Linked DNA regions of Drosophila melanogaster. The protein of the gene in region 1 interacts with the protein of each later gene in a pairwise test. Each region holds a gene or a part of one and is shown on either strand. Other genes may lie near its edges. The genes, in order: Kap3 and Apc.

Evidence for each region.
Region 2: the proteins of Kap3 (region 1) and Apc interact in a two-hybrid assay, tested with the Drosophila melanogaster proteins (one study listed by BioGRID).

What each region holds. Positions count from the first base shown.
Region 1 is NC_004354.4:11,333,636-11,341,592, forward strand, and holds Kap3 (kinesin associated protein 3), read right to left. Parts: upstream 5,954-7,957; 5' UTR 5,893-5,953; coding exon 5,579-5,892; intron 5,190-5,578; coding exon of another isoform or gene 5,155-5,189; coding exon 5,037-5,154; intron 4,228-5,036; coding exon 4,062-4,227; intron 4,009-4,061; coding exon 3,694-4,008; intron 3,629-3,693; coding exon 3,492-3,628; intron 3,429-3,491; coding exon 3,240-3,428; intron 3,175-3,239; coding exon 1,699-3,174; intron 1,618-1,698; coding exon 1,361-1,617; intron 1,299-1,360; coding exon 1,154-1,298; 3' UTR 552-1,153; downstream 1-551. Other genes in the region: CG34348 (uncharacterized protein), read left to right, coding at 6,817-6,862, 6,972-7,110.
Region 2 is NT_033777.3:28,841,708-28,846,854, reverse strand, and holds the start of Apc (APC-like), read left to right. Parts: upstream 1-2,106; 5' UTR 2,107-2,295; intron 2,296-4,571; exon of another isoform or gene 4,572-4,636; intron 4,637-5,147. Other genes in the region: spg (sponge), read right to left, coding at 855-888.

The DNA.
Region 1 (7,957 bases):
CCATATTTATATATGTATATGTATGTCTGTGTCTGATATTTGTGTAAAAATTTGTTAAAACCATAGTCTAAGTGCAAAAACTGCGGCAGATGTGCGAAGCGATCCAAGTCAAATCGAAGTGGAAACGGAACACCAATCAGTGGGAGATGCCGATGCTGAAGCTGAAGTGGAGATATCTAGGTTAAGCTTAACATTGAACGCTAGAAGGCCTCGCCTTACGGATATCCACGATATATATATATATATATATATATATATATAAAGTGAACTAGAGAGCATATTCTTCTATTTATATATACACGTACCATACATACATACCTAGATATATGCATGTTTATCGGATCGGTCTAGCCACTGTCATAAGTATGTTTCGGAAACGAACTGCAACTTAATATTCCTTATTGTGTAACACAAAATTAAAAGCCAATATTATTTCAAATTGTTGCATTTTAATGGCGAGACAAACAGCTCTGCGGAATGGGAAAAGTACTCACCCCTTTTTTTTTTTTTTTTTTGAACAGCCAACAAAACCAAAGAAAACAATACGAACTAGGTGAACATTTACATTAGCTTTGTTTATATTCTTCGGCGTTTCATTATGTCGGCGTTTCATTTGTCGCCCACTGTTTAATATTACAATTTGACTTTTGTTCGTAAGATATTCGAGAAAACGAAAAGTTTAGGTTCGGTAAACTAAAACAAGTACAACTAAAAACGTTCGACGTAATACTTTAAGTGAGAGATTATTGCACAGTAATTGCGTTGCGAACAACCAAAGTGGAAGCTAAGCCATACATCGCACTTAAACAAGACCTCAATAAATTAAATATTAATAAATAACAAACAAAAAAATACCATACCAATAAGTAAGTAACCAAACTTAAACTAACCAGTGTCTGTGCGCCGTTGCTCATTTTGAATGTCTTGAGTACAAAGTTGCCGCGTCGCTAAAATCATTTAACGTCTTTGACTAACAAGCGTGAAAGGTGTCGTATATATGTATACATATATATATATATATAAATATCCAATAAATCCAAGCAGAAGGTCGTTAATAGGCAGAGTGACTAAACATGTACACGGGAGGGCGGGCAATCGGCAGAAGCATCTTAATTCAAATTCAATCGATTCGGGTTAGGACCTTTCTCCTCATTTAAGCCATCAGCAGCTCCTCGTGCAGACCATCGGCATCCAGGGATTTGTTCGACTTGAATATGTAGTTGTTGTCGCTGGAGCCCTGCGACTTGGAACTGGAGGTCATGTTGTACAAATCATCGAGATCCTGGCTGCGGCGATAGCTGTACCATGTGATTTATCACTTAATTACTCGAATCGAAGTGGAAACTTGGTCAAAACTCACGTGCTCAGTGGCCTGCTGTAGGTGGACATGGCCGGGCTGGCCGGATTGTTGTTGCTATGGTTGCTGTTGCTATTGCTGTCATTGTCGGCATTGTCGTTGTAGAGATCGCAATTGTCCAAGTACTCGGAGCGCAGATACGTGTCCAGATCATTGTCGCACTCGTCCTCCTGATCGGCGTAGTCCTGCTCATTGTCCTGGTCCTGCTGCGACTCCACCATGCACAGCCACTGCGAATTGTGGTTGCGGAACTTCTCCAGCTGCCATGTAACAACGAGAACAAGAAAACACAAACAAGTTTGTACTAAGATATGCCATATTTGGACTGGCAAGCAACTCACCTTGATGCGCTTGGCCCACTCGCTGTCGCTTATGGCAATAATGTCCAAGCAATAGTCGCACACCTTGCGGATCTCCTCGTTCTTGTCGTGCATCAGATCGATGAGATAGGCCGCCGATTCCGTCTCTTTGATCATGTACTCCCTGGTGCTTTCGTGTCGCAGGATTTGCTGAAACACAAAGATGATCTGCAGCACAATCTCGTCATCCTCCTGCTTCGCTTTAAGCAACTCGATCAGGGATATAACCACTTTGGCGCGGCAGAAGAGCAGGGCACACAACTCGTCGCAGGCACAGGTGCCCAAGTAAACAATGGTGTCCAGCACAAGGTCGTCCATTCTGGCGCACGGCAGCAGTATCTGTCTAATCCATGGAATCAGTTGGAAGTTCTGCAAGATCTGCGAGTAATCCAAATCGGTGAGGGCCAGGTTACCCAAAATGCCGAGGCACTCGACTATGAAGGCCTCGTCATCGCAGATGGTCAAAATGCGCGCCAGATCTCCCACATAGTCGATGAACTGCAGCTGCAGGGACTCGTGCTGCGACAAGTTGCGCAGCAGCTTCATCAGCAAGGCATCCTGGTACTTGAAGGCCCGATCCATTAGGCTATGCAATCTTTGGCCCTCCACCATAATCTGGGCATTACGGCGATTTAGCGAGAGATTAATGCACAAGGCAATGAGATCCAAATCGACTTTAACATTGAGGTTTAGGATTATGGCATCCGTGGCCATTTGCACGCACTCCGTTTGCGTGAACATGCCCTTCACTTTGTCATCCAAGCTCATGTGGTACAGTATTTTCACAGCAATGCCGTGATGCTTCTCATCGTTGATGAACATCACCAGCATGGGCAGATAGCCGGCGGCGATCATCTTGCGACGCAGTCCGCCGTCGAAGGAGAGATTGAAGACCAGCTTCAAGGTGACCTGCACCAGATCCGTGTGCGTGCTCTGGAACAATCGTGGCAACTTGGCCACAATGTTCAAAGCGCCCATCTCGTCCTTGTTGTCGCCCACAATCGATAGCTTCTTGAGGAACGTGCTGACGAGCATGAGTAGATCGATATTCTGCCTATCCAGCGCCTTGACCAACATCTTAACGATATGCTTGCGGCGCATCTTCTCCTCCAGCTTAACATTCTCGGCCATGTTCAGCAGCAGGTAGAAGGCCACGCGCAACAGTTGCTCCTGCTTTTTGGCAAAGATCTTAAGCTGCTTGTTCAGCCGATCGATCTCCTCCTTCTTCACTTTGGGATCATTCCTGTCCAGCGACTCGTTGCTTTGGGCCTTCTGTTCAGCGGGCACAGCCGGAGTATCGCCGCCAGGTGAACCGCCGGCGCAAAGGGACTCGTGATAGCTGCTATTCAGGATCTGACTCTTGATCAGCGACGATGACATGGAGCCGTGAAAGCTGCTCCAATTGCCCGACTTGGGACGCTGTTTTAGCTCCGGAATGCGACGACGCGGCGGCTCCATCTGAAAGTGAATTTGTTGAGTATTCGATAGATATGTTTTTCAAGAACTTATAGAAATAAAATTACCTCCTTGGGCTTCTCCTCGTTCATGATGTCCAGGAAATCGTCGGTGCTGCGGTTCAGCTTCTCCTTGCTGGCCTTTGCCGAATGTGGAGTGGATGATCCATTGGGCTGTTTGCGCACGTCCAGCTCATTTCTCATTGTCTCGTAGCGACGCAGCTCATAGTCAATCACATCCATGCACAGCGATCCAATCTGAAATAGATTAACAACGATTAAATGAGTGCTTAGAACTTAATTAAGAAACTCTATTCCCACCTTATATTGCACAATGAGCGGATGAAACTTGGTGTATGTGGAAAAGCAGAAGAATATGTAGATTATGTTGGTGGAGAGATCCAGGGATTTGCGCCAGTCCTCGCGCAGAACACGTGACAAGGCGCTGAGGCAGGCTTCTAAAATGATGAAATAGTACATTGGGTTTGGGTTCAAAACTACAGAACTGCAAACTTATCCTTACCATTCTTTTCCAGCTCTTCAAGATTATCGGGATTTCGCGCCATCTGTAGGATCATGGCCGAGCCTCGAATGCGTTCGCCCAGCTCCTCGTACAGCAGCTCCACATACTCATCGATATTGTTTATGGACACATCCGCCGTGGGCGTGGCGGCACTCAGGGCATTCGAGACACCATTGCTAGCTCCAGTGGATCCTCCGCCGCTGCCGGTGCTGCTGGTCATGGCCGCCACACTGCTGTGCGATCGAGCAGAGGAGCGGGTGTGCGAAGTGTGCAGCGCCGCCGATCGCCGGCTGTGAGTGTTGTTATCCGGTATATCTAATGGGTACTGAGTGTTAGTATGGATTTCTGCTAACAATCTAACTGCTTACCATTGCTTGCATTATCCTTGCGATTCTTCAGATAAAAGATTATCTGCTCGACGTCATTAAGCTGGGACTTGTGGATGAGATCGCACTTCTCCACCACTTCTCGTGCCAAGGCAGCCGGATCCGTTTTGGCGTTCAGCGAACGGAGTCGTATGATTTTTTGACAGTGCTGGGCGATTAAATACAATACATGCATTAGTTAACGACTGAAATAATGTACTATTAGGCTAATTGTTTTTGCTGTTATTTTGCTATTTATAAACATAGAGTAATTATTAGGATTGAGGAACTAGTTTAGGACCACTTCAGGGCAATTAACCACTTCGCATCTAAGCTGAAAACTTTTTTGGTCGCCAATATTTATGGCCAAGAGCAAAACATAAGAGACTTACTTATGTAGTACATATTTATGGTCGTGAACAATCGGCGAAAAATAAGCTTGTCGCTCGGCCAAAAAACGTGAATTGAGGTTAAAGACCCGGCCAACCAACCGCTTTTGGGTATCTTTTTTTTTTTGTTGCTGTGGTTTTACATTTTTCACTCACTACTTGGAGCGCAGGCCGTCATCGACCCCGTTGTTGTTGCGCTATCGATTGGGCCGCTCAATGTCAGCTTCTGCCCCCCGCCCCTTAACCCTTTTCGGGGCACACCGGAAGAAACAGAAGTAGCTTTTTTAAGTACTCATTCGGATGTTTTTGTAGAACAATGACTGCTAGTATTTAAACTAATAAGCAATATATGTATGTGTACACATCTAGATCAATTTTTCAACCTATTCGATTAAGGATCAACTTTGTTTCCTTTTTTTTTATGAACCTAACATAGTTAAGAACTAAGTTACAGATGTTCGCATATTGTTGTTATTATATTCTTTCCCTATCAACATCTTTGATACCAATAATGCTGGTCCTATTTTAATTTTCTAATATCTACTAGCATTTTCTCCCAGTGCAGCGATGTGTAACCGTGCGTTCTTACCTTCTTTTCCTCGATCATCGGATTGTTGGGCTCCCCGAAGACGGTGGCCTCCAGTTGGTAGTTGACAATCAGCGCCTTATCCGTGGGATGCGGTTCAATGGATCCGCCTTTCCACCTCCTTCGTTGTTTGTTTGTTTGTTGTTGTCGTTGCATTTGTTTTGGATTGAGAGCGAGACAAATTGTTGGATCAATCATAAATTATGCGGTTCAATGCGTAATGAGGTAATAGATTTTTCAATCCAATTCTTTTTTTGAGCCTGGCTTAACTTGTGCTTTTGTTTTAATAAAACGAACAAAAAAGTTAAGAACCCAACGAATAACGAATAACGATTAACGGTTGCAAATAACAAAAAACAAAAGGAGGAAGCGTGAACGCAAAGTGGAAAATCAATAGAGAGCGCCAGGTGATTGTGGCTCTCTTTCTGACGCATGACGAGTGCTTTAGCTATTTCTTTTGTTCTTCGGCCACTTGTACACCCACACATGAAAACAAACAAACACACACACGCACGCACGCACGATCTAATCCCATACATACGCACTTTTTTATAAACTTGGCGTCATCGTTTGTTTGCATTGCAGTTGTTGTTGCTGCTGCTGTCGGAGAGCGACTAGAATTTGTCAAATTGTTTATGGAAAGCACAGGCTCCTCTTCGGTGGGTGGCGGATGCGGGGGGTGGCGGTTTTGGTGGCGCGGAGTGGGGCTCCTTTGCAGCTGCTGCTCTCTTTGCGCTCTCTTCTGCTCGCACAGATCGCCGGCAATCGCATTTATTATGTAATAGACGTAGTGAATCACAATTGGCAGCAGCACCAGGCCCGAGATTATTTGGAAAATTAATAACAAAACAAATTGCATGCGATTGCAATGCGACTTCCGATTTAATGTCGATAAGTGCTAGTGCTGGCACAACTGTCTGCTCACTGGCGGTACTATCGATGGTGCCACGGCACCCGGCAATTACCGATAGCACTCAATCGATACAAACCAATAAGCGAATGTTCAAATTCAAGTTGGCGGTTGTATTCTAATTGGGAACTTGCCATTCATAATATGCAGTATACTAACAACTTTGTTTTTCCTCGAACTTCCTTGACCGGCTAGAAACAGGTGTGATTAGCCAAGAGAGCATCACTGTTCTGTTCTGGGTGCCAAGAACCAAAGTCTGGCAACGACTGCAGCCAGAACAGCTGGGCCGGCGTTGCCAGGTGCAAAGAACGTAGATGAGCAACAGAAAAGCAAACGAAATGGAATGAAGGAACAACAATAAAAGAATCGCTACTTTGTAGTATTATTAACCAAAAAAAAGCGCGGCGCGATCACAATGTTTCTGACTGCGAACGGTGTCGGTTGTCTCTACTGCGTGTGAGCCGAGTGGAGCGCAGCGCCGCGAATTGTTTACATTGTGCTAGGAAAATCACAACAAACAAACCAGCAAACAGTCTCGACTGACAATAACAATAACAATAGCAAATAACATGCAAATAAAATGCATTTCAAGCCGCGCAAATACTAAATACTGATTCAAATGAAACGCACTATACGATGACCATTTAAAAGAATCGCCAAGCAGGAGGAAGCGAAAAGAATTCGAAAAGCGCAAAGCGAGCCGAAGAAAGTGTACAAAATCAGGCCAAACCGATTTGTTTTTTTTTTTTTTTTTTTTGTTCTGTCGTATTTTCCCTTCTTTTTTCTACCGTTTTTTTTTGTGTTTTTGTTGTGGTGGGCGGTCGCTTCTCTTTTCGCGCAAGAACAACAAATGAGGTGGAGCAGCGCCTGACAATGGAATTTCTGGAGAACCTGTACAAAACGCTGCACTCCCTGTTGTGTGAGTAATATCGAATATTTGGCGCCCGATAAGGCGCACCGCTGACCTATGTACATACATACATACATAACAAATGCCCCTCCACCAACTGCATACCTTGTGATTCTAGCCTCCTACATCGATCTGGACTATTCGCTATGGCTATATCGCTTCCTCACCCCCCTGATTGTCACCTTTCTGCTGCCGCTGGTCTTCGTGGCCCTCATCTACATTTCGTTCCTGGTGCTATTCATCTACAAGCTGCACAGGTAAGCGAAATGGAAATGTTGGAAAGCTGCGTATAAGTTGGGTGGGAAATTGGAATTACAACAATTACAGTGTGCTTCGCGGGCTCAATTGCAACTGTTAATGAACTCTCTCATGCTGATCGCGCACTTTTGGAGCCAAGTTTCCCCCACTCACCCTTACCACGCACCCCTTCCCCCTTTGGCCGGCGTCTTCCGTCCCGCTCTGCACCTGTAATTAAAAGGGAACATAAAAAGAGATGGCGTTGTAAGGAAGGGGCGTAGAGTGGGAGAGAGTTGGGCAGCCAGTGTTGCCAACAAAAAAAGCTAGATAAAACAAAGCACGGGAATACAGTGGACACTCTATAAGGCAAACAGAAAACGTAATATAGTCCAATAAACTTAGTTTTCACTGTTTTTAAGGGAACTTATGATGCAGCTGTTTCCCAAAACGCTGAAATTAACATTTTGACAAACCGTGAATATGTGTTGAATCATCGAAATTATGGGCATTAAAAAAAGTGCTCAGCAATAATTGATCGTTTTCTGCAAATTAAGTAAATTAATACGATAAGCATAATCTACATGTGTTTCTAGCTCGAAAAAGTTTTTGAAACTAAAGCAATTACTTGAGTTCTTAGATTTCAGTTGTAAAAACTGCTGTTATCGATCTAAAAAAAAGGATTGATATGTGTACCAGATAGTAATATATTTGAATTATATTCATCTAGATAGTATATATAGTTGGAATATAGCCAAGTTGGGCTGCACTGACTACACTGACCCCTGAAGAACATTACACCCTCGACCATTGCACCGATACTGAAAATGAAAAGCCAAGTCGAACGGCAGGTGATCGACTCGGCCAACT
Region 2 (5,147 bases), on another chromosome or scaffold:
CGTTTAAATGTAGACTGTGGTGCAGGCAAAAATATATTTGCTGTTTATTTATTCTGCTTAAAGCTTGATAATAGATATAATATTATAGATATAATATATATATCAAGAGAAACCAGCAACATATTCCAAGTAAAATGTGTAACGAGAAAAATAAAGTCCATAGCAAGCAAGTTTCGATTCTTGAGATCTTAAATAGTTTTTACCATGTGCACTGAAGCGTTTTTCTTTCCCATTTCTATATTCTATCTACCGAGTAGGTTTTATATTAGCATACTAGGAAATATAATTAAGATGTAGTTATTTTCAGATCAGAATCAGAGAAACGTTTCAAATCAAAATCAACCATATGAACTTGGACAAATATATATTTTGTCTGCGAAATAAACATTTTTTTAGGTGTTCGTAATTACGAAAGCATTTAAATTGGCAACACCTGGGCTGGGGGGAAATTGGCAACGCGACAGCCGAGCGCTGTGCGGGAAAACTGAGCGCGCGGAAAACTGTGTGTATAAACACATCAAATCGCAGCGCAGCGGCAGCAACAACAAACAGGGAAATCTCTTTGAGATACACTACACGCTGCATGGAAAGGGGGGGGGGGCGGTGCGGTGAACTGGGGGATGATGATGCTACAAACAGTTTGTGTACAAAAATAAGTAGAAAAGTCGCTTTTCCTCCCCGCTCGGTAACGTGCGGGGGTGGTTGGCATGGTATCCGGCGTTTCGCGGAAAAACGCGTGAATCGCCGCAAAAGGCAGCAATAAAAACAAAGGCCGCGCACGTGACGCCCAGCGGGGGGTGGTGGGTAGCTTGGAAAAGTGGGTGGCACACCGCCTACTCTTATTATTTACTCACCAACTCCGTATTTGTTGTTCGAAGGTATCCACATTTTGTCGCTGCTGCTTCGCTGCAAGTTAAGCCGAAAAAATCCAACTTAGCCGGCCACTCCTTGCATTTATAATTAATCAACGGTTTTTTGAGGAAACACCCTTTTCATCGGCAAATATCTGCATTTGAATTCGCATTTATAACGGCCAATATTTATCAACAATTTTTCGCAATAGCACACATACACACTCGTACACATCTACGCACTCAATAAAACTTTCGCTTTTGTTGTTGTCTATCTCCTTCTCTTTCTCGCACTTTATCTTGTTTAATAACTACAACTACAAGCAGAAAATACACTTGCTACATTGTTGTTGTCGCTGGAAGGCAACGATCGCGGTTCCAATTGGCAATGATTACCGCTAGGTGGAAGAAAAGGAAGTGGCTGATTGGGAAGTCTGGAAGTGGTGGCTTTGCTTTTGTTGCCTTTTTCACGGACCCGCGCACACACAAACAAGAAAATCAATACGAATTTGGGACTCCCAGCCGAACTTCCAATTGGATTTCTACACTGTGCGCAATTTAAATTGCTTGTCCCTTGGCTTCGCGAATTATTACCGTTGTTTTCTGCTGCACTTGCAACGCGTTTAATTTTCGCTATTTTTTGCGTTTTATTATTTTTCGCGTTCTCCGCTGCGCAGCTTCCCGGGCGCAGCAACAACAAATATCCGTCCGCCGCTCAGCTGTTTGAAGAACAACAACAAAATTCGGGATTCGTCGGCTTATATACGTTGCAGTGTGGCCAGTTGCTAAGCGATGGATTATTTACTATTGCATTTTTGAGGGAATTTTCATTTTAGCGGTGACGGTCACACCGGTATTTATGGTCTAGCTAAGACCCGAACCAATTCGCAGTTACAGTTTTGGAGGCACATTCATTCAATGTATTCAATAATTTAACAAACAAAACAATACCAAATCCGTTTTAATATGCAGTCCATAGCGTTGGTCTGACTCGGCCCCATTAACTCTATCCCATTTTTTTTTAAATTTTTTCTTTTAAATTAACGGTGTACGTATTACTTAACCGAGATATATAATGAATAAAATATAAGCACTAAATCTTTAAGGTTAGAAAATAAATTGCAGTATAAATATATTACGAACGAAGTAAATATTCAAGCGATATATATGATCCCAAGATATCGCTACATTCTCCCATCCCTAGCAGCTATTTCTTGTTGGTTTTTCGAATTCTCGATATAACAGTCACACTGCTCGCCGCGGTTGGTCGCAATTTTTGTTGATAAGCGGACTCGGAATTTCGGCCGCGCTGCGTATTTGTTTTGTCGCGAAACAAGCCAAGAATCCAAATAGTGGCAATATCTGTGGGCAAACAAGTGATAAAGCGGGAAATGTGTCATCTGGTGGGCGAGGAAGCTGCCGAGAAATTGTGTTTTTAGTCAAGGTACGCCAATCGGAGAATCTCTGGGTTCGTGTGTGTGTGGGAGTATAGTCGCTGACTCTTCCAATTGGAATTGTTCTTTTTGGGCCTGACAATAAAACGCAGAATGTTTACTCAATAAATGCGCACCATATACAGCTGGCGAATACAAATGTGTTTAGCTCAACTTGGAGCATGAGATACTCTTTAGTAGTTTCCTGTTCTCCTGCCGATTCCTTTTACAGGAAAAATCAATAAAGGTCCCAATCAGAACGCGACTGCGCCCTAGTGTGGGTGTGCAAAGTGCGTGCATGTGTGTGTCTATGTGTGTGAGTGCTCCTTTATCAGTTGGAAAACGCAGTGTGTTTCGTTTGTTTCGTTGTTGTTGTTTTCGTTTTAGTTTTCCAACAGCTGCAAGTGATTGTGGCACGCCTAATTGATAACTATTTTCGAGCACTTCCATTCAACTTCACCTCAGCATAATTAATCACCGCATTAAGGAAAATACGTTAATATCGGCACGCTCGATTGTCTTACATGCCCACAAACATGGGAGAAAAGGAAAACACAATTCCACACTGCATGCGCTCGTATTTAGTTTCCCTTTTACTTTTCTACAATTTACATAATCATCATCTCGCGGCGGCAAAGACACAAAACAACCGGGCAGCAAAACAAAAGTGGCGTTCATTAAACCAGCTCATAAATGCACACACAGAAATCATAAGTACATACATATGTACATATGTACAGTAGTTAGTATGTAGTTTCATTATTTAATGTTTTTGCGTACATTTCCCTGTGGTTTGATGGCTCGCGGTGTCATCATCTTTACCGCTTTTCCTTCCCCCGCAAATCTTCCATTCTTTTTTCTTTGATAATTCTGCCGCGAATATTTCGTATGCAAAATGTGTGCCAAGCCAAAAAACCGCACAGTGGGTGGGATGGGGCGATGTGGTGGCAAAATTGGTTATTAGCTTAATGGGAATTCACTTATTGGAGAAATATTTTTTATTTTTGCTATTCCCTTCTAATTGTAATTGTAATTGTACCATTTTTAGGGGAGGGTGTGACGAAAACCACCCTTCAGATCATCAATCTGCCAAAAAAAATATTTCCCTCTTTCAAATATTTCAACCTAGTATTCATTTTATCACAACAAATTACACTTTCCAAATTAGGTATTCATATGTCGGTTTAAAATAACTTTTAAGACCTTACCCTCTATAAGGTGATGAAGCTTTATCTTTCAAAATCCAAATCTGATCCACCCATGCTACACAAATGCTTAATTTATATGCATATTACCAAAAATGGAATTGTTCATTCTCATAATTCATTTAATTATGCAAATATTTGGATATACAATTATCAAATAAACACTTTTATTTATTCTTTTACACCTATCAGTTTAAGTAAGTGCTTAGTAAGTCTTACTAAGCAAGTGTTATTCAAGCAATAAGTCACATTTGTTTTTGAAATCTCGTTATCTCTGAAAGAAATAGAAACTGGGTGACTAAAAGTTTGTCAGTCTGATTCACTTTCTATCCGCTAAACTATGGCACTTGTATTTTATTTCAAAGCGTGGGGTTGTTTCTGTTTTCGCTAACTATGCGAACCAATTTAGTTTCCCAATACAGTTGACTCGAAACGCTTGGAGTCGAATTGTGTCCATTGTGCAGGGCTGATTCCCTTGTGCGACTCGCTGGCCGGTTAATGACACGAGGAGTCGTCTCTGGGGGACCGGGTACACGGCTCTTGGCTAGACAAGTGACGCATATTCTCGCATTCTTTGGGGTACTAAAAGTATCTATGTCGTATCTAGATACTTGTGTTTGTCTAATTCGCGGATCGTTGATTCATCGAATCGCTCTACTCTGCTCTGTTCGTCTTTCGAATTCTTGGCCTCGAGAGCACTGATATCGTGACTCTTGCTAAATGTTAATCGGTGGAGCCGAACTGTGTGCCTTATCAAGGCGGTGATAGTGCCGGCTGATCACATATTTTATATATTTGAGGCCTAGGCAAACAATCGATCGGCAATGATGAACGATGGCCACTGTGTCCAGTGCGGCATTCCAATCGAGTGGCTTGGATGGATGGATGCATTTCCGCTGTTACACAAGCGATTTGCATTTCACAGCCACTCAAATTGCGGTTACCACTTTTCGTTCGCCGGCTGTTTTCGCTCTTTACGCTGGTCGCAATTAAAATTTGATTAATTTGCCAATTGGAGCTTGAACAAGTCGACTTGTGCGGAGCCAGAACTGGTACACGACCCGGGTCATTCCCAATCCCAAACTCAATCCACTTGAAGTCTTGAATTGGATTGGGTACACAGTGAAAAAATGCTTGAAAATACAAGGTATCAAATCATTTGTTATATTCCTTTTCATTCGATATCTAAAATTATGCAGTAAATAAATTGTGCCATACTTTAAGACACTTTGTAGATTGATTTAAGAACCCCAAGGATTTATTTGACCCTTGATTAAAGTTGTGTAAATAACTTAATAGTGACCTTACGTTAGTTACGTTATTTTCTCTCTGTGTACATACATATTTATGCACTTCTGTCCGTCCACGCTCAATTTTACGCTACAATAACAGCTGAAAAAAAAGAAGTGCAGCACCAAATTGCATTTGCACATAATTCAACGGTAGCTCAAATGAGAAATATGTCTTGTGCTTATGGAGTGTGTGTAGCAACAACAATGAGAGCCGAGGCAATATAATATATCTGCTGAAAACGCATCTGTATCTTTCTTCATGCACTGGAAATTCCGCAAAGACGACGCCGTGTGCCGCTAACTTTCTAAAAAGATGCAGCGCCAGCTAATCATGATAATGACTTAGCTGCTCATTTGCTATTGTGG